Linked DNA regions of Daphnia pulex. The protein of the gene in region 2 purifies or fractionates together with the protein of the main gene of each other region. This does not show direct contact. Links are inferred from orthologs where the notes say so. Each region holds a gene or a part of one and is shown on either strand. Other genes may lie near its edges.

Region 1 (3,435 bases), on a different chromosome or scaffold from region 2:
AGGGCTGTAGCTGTAGGCCTAAACGAAAAAGAAATTGGAAGCTAATTGTCCTTATTCCATTGAACTGCATTAAGTCTGTCTTTATGCAGATGCTTTAAGTTATCTTATTTATTTTTTCTGACATTTACTAATCAAACCTATAGAAAATATATTTTTAGAATTCTTCGTTTTTATTCCACATGCAAACGACGACAGTTATTGGTTGCATTCCATTATTGGGTGGCTACATCCTGTCTCATTATTTTTTAAAGGTATTTGCAAAAAAAACTGTATACTAAGAAAACCATAATATGATATGAGTCCGCTGCTCAGCGAATATAACGCTATTCATTTGTACGACCCTTAAAAAAGACCCCCAAGATTGCCTCCCCTACAGTTTTTCTGGAGAATTTCAAATCCGATGAGAAATGTCAAATTTATGCGGTGCCGAGCTATATCCTTGTGTGGCATACAACTTAAACCGGGAATTATGGCTGTCGCAGAATGAAACAAGAAGTAGATCGTAGTGACACAGCGATTTTTTTTTTCAATAAAAAAAAAAAAATTGTAAAAATTTACATGCACGAAATGCATCGAAGAACTTTAAAACCCTCTGAGGCCATTGTACACTTTGTTGATTGAATCTTGCGACAGCAATTGCCTGAGCTTTTCCTTGACCTCAGTTGAGAGTTCGTCTTTCGGGAACTGCACGTCAAATGTTACGTAGAGCATGCCGAAAAGATTGTTGTTCTCGTAATTTGGCATTCCTTCACCCTTCTTACGAATGCGAGCACCTGGCCAAGTCACTTTGTCACGGACGATATGTACTTTATGTCCATCCAAGTGTTCAATATCTAATTCAAAACCTAAAACAGAATAGACCGTTATTTATCAAGATTTAAAACATTATTCGTTGCTGCGCTGCAACTTACCGGCCAAGGCATCCGCTAAAGAGATGGTAACATTGGTATACAAATCATCTCCTCGGCGTTCAAAAGTGGAATGTGGAGCTGTTTGAATTCGTAGACGGAGGTCACCTGGCTCTCCATCAGTGTGTGGTTCACCTTCGGCAGTAAATCTCTGCTCCAAACCGTCCGTCATTCCTTGCTCGATTTCGACTTCGAGAACTCGTTCTTCATTGACAAGCCTGTTTCATACAAACATCATGAATAATAAGTTGCTATTCGTTGTTAAGTTTGATTTCTCCATTACTTGACATTGGGGCACTCATCACAGACAGCTTGCTGCATCATTTGGAACCTTCCTGGACCTAATTGTCGGGTTACCATTTCTTGCCTGCAGTTGCACTTTCTAGTACCTTTTGCAGGTTTTAGAACAGGTTTGTTGTGTGTTATCTAAAGAATGTAAAATATATGTTTAAAATCACTTTTCTTCTTTACTTTTTAATGAAAGCATTACCTCAACAAAGTTTCCAGAGTAAAGTTCTTCGAGAGAAACAAAAAGATCCATCACAATATCTGCTCCTTTTGCAACCTCCCTTTGACCCTGGTTACCATTACCCCCAAATCCAAACCCAAAATCACCAAAAAAACTGGCGAACGGATCCATTCCACCCCCACCTGCACCTTCCTTTGAAACACACTCTTCACCACAGCGATCATAAAGTTCTCTCTTCTCTGGATCGGAAAGAGTCTCATAGGCTGCTCCAAGGTCTTGAAACTGGGCACTGGCTTTTTCAGGGTCTTCTTTGTTTCTGTCAGGATGAAGTTCTTTTGCTAATTTCCTGTATGCTTTCTTGATTTGGTTAGTGTTTGCTGATTTTTGTATTCCCAAGATTTTATAAAAATCTCGTCTGTAAAAACGAAGAAAAAATGCTCACGTTAGAAAATCGTCACAAGTTAATGCCGGTTACAAAAGTAAATTGGATTCGCTACCTACCCTGCTAAAACGGTTCCCAGTCCAAGGCAAATAAATAACAATAACACTTTCAAGTGCATTTTGAAAAAAAAAGTTTTAATTTGATTATAAGTTAGAAGCAGTGTCCACGAATTAACAGCCTAGGTTAGACCACTACCACAATTAACAACAGCAAATATTACACTTGTTCAGAATGTATCAACGCGCCAGAAAATAGGAAAGGACGTCTGCAGAATACTGGATTCAATGTGGGAAAAGCTCATTGGTCGGTGGGGTTTGGTGACGTATCGTAACTATAGACGCCACAGGGTGTTTTGAAATGGTATGCATGTCGTCATGTGTAGCGTTGGGGAAACATCATAAACACTGCACTCCATGTATATTTTCCCTATAGTCCAAAGTTCATGTTCTCGAATTGCCCATTTCGTGTGAGCGCCTCTAGCGAGTGTGTCAAAATTTCCCGATAGGGATTCTATCGCCAAAGACCTGTTTCCTGACCCAACCCAACCCAACCCACACCAACAGATGGCGTTGTTCCTCTCAGTGAGATAGGAAAGTTGTTTATTTCATTAATGTTTTATACGTTTTTTTTCTTAGAGTTAAACAATTAGGAAATTATGATCATCTTGTGCAAGACAAGGTTTTACATGGAGCCGTCGCATTTAGATTTTTATATTGCGACGAAATCATAATTATATACTCGAATTTGTGTTTTCGTGTTTTTCTAAACTGCCGTTAGATGGTTCTGACGCATTGCTATAAGGCCGTGCTATATAAACACAGCCTATTATCTAGTCAACTCGGTCTACTGTTTTCCATTTGCAGTCTTCATTCGAAAGTGAAGTAATGGTATTCTCTTCCACATCAACCAGCGGCCATCAATGGCTCAGGTAAAATTAATTAACTAATCAATTCCATTCAATACCACAAAATTGTTAAAGAAAAGGGGAACTGTTCTTGAAGACTGCCTAAGTATTCTCTTTGATCGCATTTGTTTTTAACCACTACAAGTCTGTTGTTGAATGCTGTTTGATTATCGATAGTGTTTTGTGTTGCAGAATAAAATTACAGGAATGACCAACAACAGTGAAGAACAACAGACCTCATCTTCCACCAAGGAGACCATCATAGAGGTGATAATTCAGCCACCAACTACAGAGGCCAAGGTTGAATCTGATGCTCCCCCCGCTGTGATCACCACTCAGCCAGCACAGCCAATGCCTGAACACGATGACAGCATTGCTGTGGTCATGTGGGAAGCCACCGTTTCAATACCACATTGGTTAAAGAAAAGGGGAACTGTTCTTGAAGACTGCCTAAGTATTCTCTTTGCTCGCATTTTGTTTTTAACCACTACACTGTTGTTGAATGCTGTTTGATTATCGATAGTGTTTTGTGTTGCAGAATCAAATTACAGAAATGACCAACAACAGTGAAGAACAACAGACCTCATCTTCCACCGAGGAGATCATCATAGAGGTGTTAATTCAGCCACCAACTACAGAGGCCAAGGTTAAATCTGATGCTCCCCCCCCCCCCCCCCCCCCCCGCTGTGATCACCACTCAGCCAGCACAGCC
Region 2 (4,954 bases):
CAAGTCTACAAATCCTATGAAAAGAAAAATTTTCTTATTACTGAATACTTTGTAAACATGAGATTTTATCAAACCATTGTAAAAATCACCATGGACAGCCTTCTCATTTGATGTCAAATCAACAATCATTCCAGAGGGACCAGCAGATTGCTAAATTAACATTGATATAAACTTATTAGATATCTTAAAATGGCAAGTAACAGCTAAATTAGAATATAAAAGGAAAAAAGTTGGTATTATTAACATCGTGTTCAATTAATTGCTGTTTTTCCAAAAAAATTTGTATCTTTGTCTAGGATCTTTGTAATGCTATCAAATGATTTTCAGATGACATGTTTGAATATATTTTGGAATTGTAATATTTAACAAATGATTTGAATGGGAAATCAGTTTACTATACATCTAGACTAGATTTTTAAAATCAATTGATTAATGCTTACCTCATCTAGGTCCATGTAGCTGCCAGCACCTATGTATGTAAAAAAAATCCATAAAAATATTGGCTGTGGTAATCATCATGTTAATCACGATGGTGAATGGTGGACTACTAACCTTCAGGAAACATTTCATCAACAACTACATTTGGCTTCATTTTAATCACCGTGAAGTATAAACTTTAACTGACTGTAGTTAATTAACAAATGAGCCTTATTTGAAAACACTATTGGTGTTTCCTCAACAATTCTTAAGACTCTTGAGTTGGAGAAAGAATCCAAGAGCGACAGGACAATAATGTTGAAAAACGTATTTTCGTCTGTTAACTGCTAAGAAAAGATGGAACAATGTTGCCAAATCAAACGGTACCGATTTATAGCCTCGGGCATTTGGTATCTCCCCGTGGGCCCGTTTTGTTTCTCTTTATGTGTTCCTAGTGAAATGTAATATTTTAATTTTTGTTTTCTACATCTTTATGAGTATGTTGGAAAAAGTTGTAAAATATACTAGCTGAATCAATCATAGTAATTTTACCTGAACAGCAAACAAACTACATTCATCCTCCAAATTGCAAATTGTCTAAATGAATAATAATTGATTATACAAAACATACAATTATTGAAGCTGTTGACTCTTTTATTTGAACAAATGTTACTAAAGTTAGATTATTTACAATGAAATCTATAGTTCTCCCCTGCACAAAAGATGTTTTATTTCAAATTATCCATGAAATCTTTTGCTTCATTTATCTTAGCTGCTAAATATGGTGAGCCACCTCTATCTGGGTGATTTGCAAGCATTATTCTTTTATGGGCTTCTTTCACTCTGATTTTGTTGGCTGTTGGTGATACACCAAGTATTAAAGATGCTTCTCTTTTGGACATTTTGGCATCAAAACCACCTTTGTAGTACTTGCTTCCAAGAAGAGACTACAAAAAATATTTGAAAAAATGATAATAAGAACATTACCATAAGTAGAAAAATATCAACATTTACAATTAATTCTATCTAATACCTCAGTATCCATAGGAAACTGCTTGAGTATTTCGTTAAACTTCGTCGTCATTGTGGGAGCAGATCGAAGCAGTGTGCGACCAGCAAATCCGACAGCAGCCAGTCCAAGACCAACAACTATCGCTGTTGACTGAATTACATAGTAGACATTAATAGCAAAACTTTAGTTTCACTATACACAATAAAATTTACTTTGAAATATTACCATTTTTTCGTTCGGAGGACAAGAGGTTTCGTCACGTTTTTGTAATGTTGTCTGCTCTGTTACTCAATATCTACCCACGAGCTTGAAATTCTAAACAACAGATGGCTTTGTTTGTCACGTAATGTCTTCTGATTGGGCCACATCACAGACGATTATTCTATTATCAGTCTGAAGTGATCCTTGTGGCTTCTTAAAGCTCTTAAGTTTAAAAAATAGAATGATAACTTTAAAAATGGCTGATTGGGGCCCACATTCAAGACAAATGTATTCAATCTTAATTTGTCTCGTTAGCATCGGAATCATCGAAGGTACAAGCCGGTTTCTTCAACTCATGTAAATTGTCCTTGTGATTCAAACGTCTTATGTATTTATTTTTCATTATACAGTTCACGGAAACGCCAATCCCTCGGAAATTGAAAAGCATTTAGAGCTTGGTAAATTAATGATGGCTAAGGGCCAACTCCAAGATGCACTCACCCATTTCCATGCAGCTCTAGAAGGAGATCCTTCTAACTACTTAACATTATACAGAAGAGCTACTGTATATCTTGCCCAGGGAAGAGCAAGAGCTGCATTAGAAGATTTGAATCGTGTTCTTGAAATCCAACCAGATTTCATTCAAGCCAGAGCTCAGAAGGGAAATATCCTAATGAAGCTTGGGCGTTTGCATGAGGCACATATTGAGTTGGAAAAAGTTGTAAGTATACATGTTATTATGGTCAAGTTAATTAAAAAATATTTCCTATATGTCTATCTTTCACAGCTTAAAAAGGAACCAACAAATAGTGAAGTCAACAAAAATTACATAGCAATTGAATCATTGAAGAAGAGTTACATGCAAGCTCAAATGTTTTTCAGTGACAAGGATTACCACCATGCCATTGATCTCTTAACCCAAGTTATTGATGTATGTTTTTATAAACTTTCTTGCAAATGATTTCTTGCTACTATGCTAACATTTTCTTTCTTTAGATTTGCCCTTGGGATATTGGTTTGCGAGAGATGCGCTCAGAGTGTTATCTAGCTATTGGAGAGGCATCAAAGGCTATTTCAGATTTAAAAGCAGCTACCAAATTGATGTCCGATAATACCGGCGCTTTCATGAAGCTTTCTAAACTGTATTATGGCTTAGGAGAACCAGAAGAGTCTCTAAAGTAATTATTCTTGTGTTTTTTGTTTTGTTCTGCATAATATTGTCAATATGATACAAGTTGCTTACCTTAAATTATTTTTTCTACAGCCAAGTTAGGGAATGTTTGAAACTTGATCCTGAACACAAGGAGTGCTTTCCTCATTACAAGAAAGTCAAGAAAGTGGCAAAGCTTGTGCAGGATCTGCAAACTAACTCTAATGACAACAACTACCAAGGATGCATCACTTCAGCTAAAAAAGTATTTTCCTTTGAATTATTAAATTCCACAATAAATAACAATGTAACCATTCATATAGGTCCTGAAAGTGGATCCCACCGTATCAGAATTATTATTTTTGGCTGAAGATAAACTTTGCCATTGCCATCTTCAACTAGGTGAACACTCGGAAAGTCTCGAGTTCTGCTCTTCAGCTTTAGCTCGGCACACAGAGCCGAGGATATTGTGCGACAGAGCTGAAGATTACATTGCTCTTGATATGCTCGACGAGGCTCAACAAGATTATGCTAAGGTAAATTATTAATTAACATATTGATATATTGATGTCTTGGATTAATCATCAAGCACCTTATCTTTAGGCATTAGAAATCGAAGAATCATTCAATAGAGCAAAGGAAGGAATGCAAAAAGTTCAGAAACTTCAAAAACAAGCAAAGAAACGTGATTATTATAAAATACTCGGTGTGAAAAAGAACGCCAACAAACGAGAAATTGTTAAAGCCTACAGGTAATGAGCTACATTTCATGCTGGAAAGAAAGTTTTCTTATTGTGTGTTTTTTAGAAAACAAGCGCAACAGTGGCATCCAGACAACTTCCAGAATGACGAAGAATCTAGGAAAAAGGCAGAAAAGAAATTCATTGATATTGCCGCAGCTAAAGAGGTTTTGACCGATCCAGGTAAAAATTGCCGTACATATCCCCCATTATTTATTTAATCTAAATTCATGATTTTCGTTAACAGAGAAGCGACAAAAGTATGATAATGGCGAGGACCCATTAGATCCTGAATCCCAACAAGGCCAAGGTTTCAATCCTTTCCAACAGGGGGGTTTCCATAATTTCCATGGCGGCCAATTCAAGTTCCACTTTAATTAAATTAAAAACAAAATAACATGGTTCGTTGTTTCAAATTAACTTTTTTTTGTCTCAAAAGATCGTTTAAAGTCTCGTCATGAATGGGTCACTGACATTTATCTTTTTTTCCTCTTTTTTATTTCAACAATTTTCATCGATTTGGCCTTCCTGTGAATTTTGTACATAGAATATTACCGGTATCTGATTAAATAATGGTACAGGTCACAAATACTTGCCGAATATGGCTCAATCTGAGGTGCTAATATTTAGAAACGTTTCCTCGACGCCAGTCATGTGTTTGTACATCAAAACGTATGTTTAATGTCCAAAATGACCTATTGATGTCTTTTTCGCCAAGATAACTCAACGGATAGAATAAGATGAAATGCTTAAACTTTTCAAGAGTTGTTGTGCTTACTCAGGTGCCACTATGTCATTTCGAAATTTAGTATTTTATCTTTCACCTTCAGAATTACCAACCCGTTTTTTTTTTAAATAATTGACCTTCAACCCGACTAGATTGAAAACGAACAAGAAGGAAAAAGATAAACTAGCATTTCTGTTACAGCAATTTTGTGTTCATTTCGAAATAGTTGAAAGTTTTAGGATAGTTTGAAAACACAATCCCTAAGTAAAATGCCTACTTCAATATTCATGCTTGTGGGTATTGAAGGTTTGATTTCCCATGCATGCCGCTCTTCCTCCTATCTTTTAGAATTTAGAGGCATATACAGGCCCCGAGGCCCGAGTAGGCAGCTTGCATCTACTTTATTCACAAATTCTGTTTTAAATTGCATTTGAAATAGAATGTAGGAGATTTGACCCCCGTCCCCACCCTTGCTTTTGCTGCTGAGATTTGCCACAGTCCGGTAGCGCTATCTTTTGCATCCGTAAAGACTCGAATTCAAAATTGTTTGGCGCCAAGTTCCGCCAAGTAATTTCCCTTAATAATATGAGAATAATAAGATGACATAAAAATATAAAAAAGGCATTCTCTTCTCGAAGGGAAATATCACGTACGTATTTTAAAATTTTATAGTAATTGACATTTCCTAGCTTTTTCTTTCCGAAACG

What was found. The genes of interacting proteins can lie anywhere in the genome.
Region 1: the proteins of dnaJ homolog subfamily C member 3-like (region 2) and dnaJ homolog shv-like purify together in Homo sapiens (affinity purification with mass spectrometry; 3 studies listed by BioGRID and IntAct, with this or other methods). This does not show direct contact. The link is inferred for Daphnia pulex from reciprocal best matches to the Homo sapiens genes DNAJC3 and DNAJB11.

The regions. Positions count from the first base shown.
Region 1 is NC_060017.1:5,991,432-5,994,866, reverse strand, and holds dnaJ homolog shv-like, read right to left. Parts: upstream 2,117-3,435; 5' UTR 1,938-2,116; coding exon 1,879-1,937; intron 1,793-1,878; coding exon 1,399-1,792; intron 1,335-1,398; coding exon 1,192-1,334; intron 1,127-1,191; coding exon 912-1,126; intron 846-911; coding exon 583-845; 3' UTR 501-582; downstream 1-500. Other genes in the region: maternal protein exuperantia-like, read left to right, coding at 2,739-2,747, 2,916-3,104. UniProt on the Homo sapiens protein: As a co-chaperone for HSPA5 it is required for proper folding, trafficking or degradation of proteins.
Region 2 is NC_060023.1:5,721,992-5,726,945, forward strand, and holds dnaJ homolog subfamily C member 3-like, read left to right. Parts: upstream 1-1,772; 5' UTR 1,773-1,871; coding exon 1,872-1,962; intron 1,963-2,040; coding exon 2,041-2,351; intron 2,352-2,417; coding exon 2,418-2,561; intron 2,562-2,626; coding exon 2,627-2,808; intron 2,809-2,894; coding exon 2,895-3,045; intron 3,046-3,103; coding exon 3,104-3,316; intron 3,317-3,383; coding exon 3,384-3,532; intron 3,533-3,587; coding exon 3,588-3,703; intron 3,704-3,767; coding exon 3,768-3,901; 3' UTR 3,902-4,109; downstream 4,110-4,954. Other genes in the region: mitochondrial import inner membrane translocase subunit TIM14-like, read right to left, coding at 1,146-1,364, 1,451-1,579, 1,655-1,657. UniProt on the Homo sapiens protein: Involved in the unfolded protein response (UPR) during endoplasmic reticulum (ER) stress.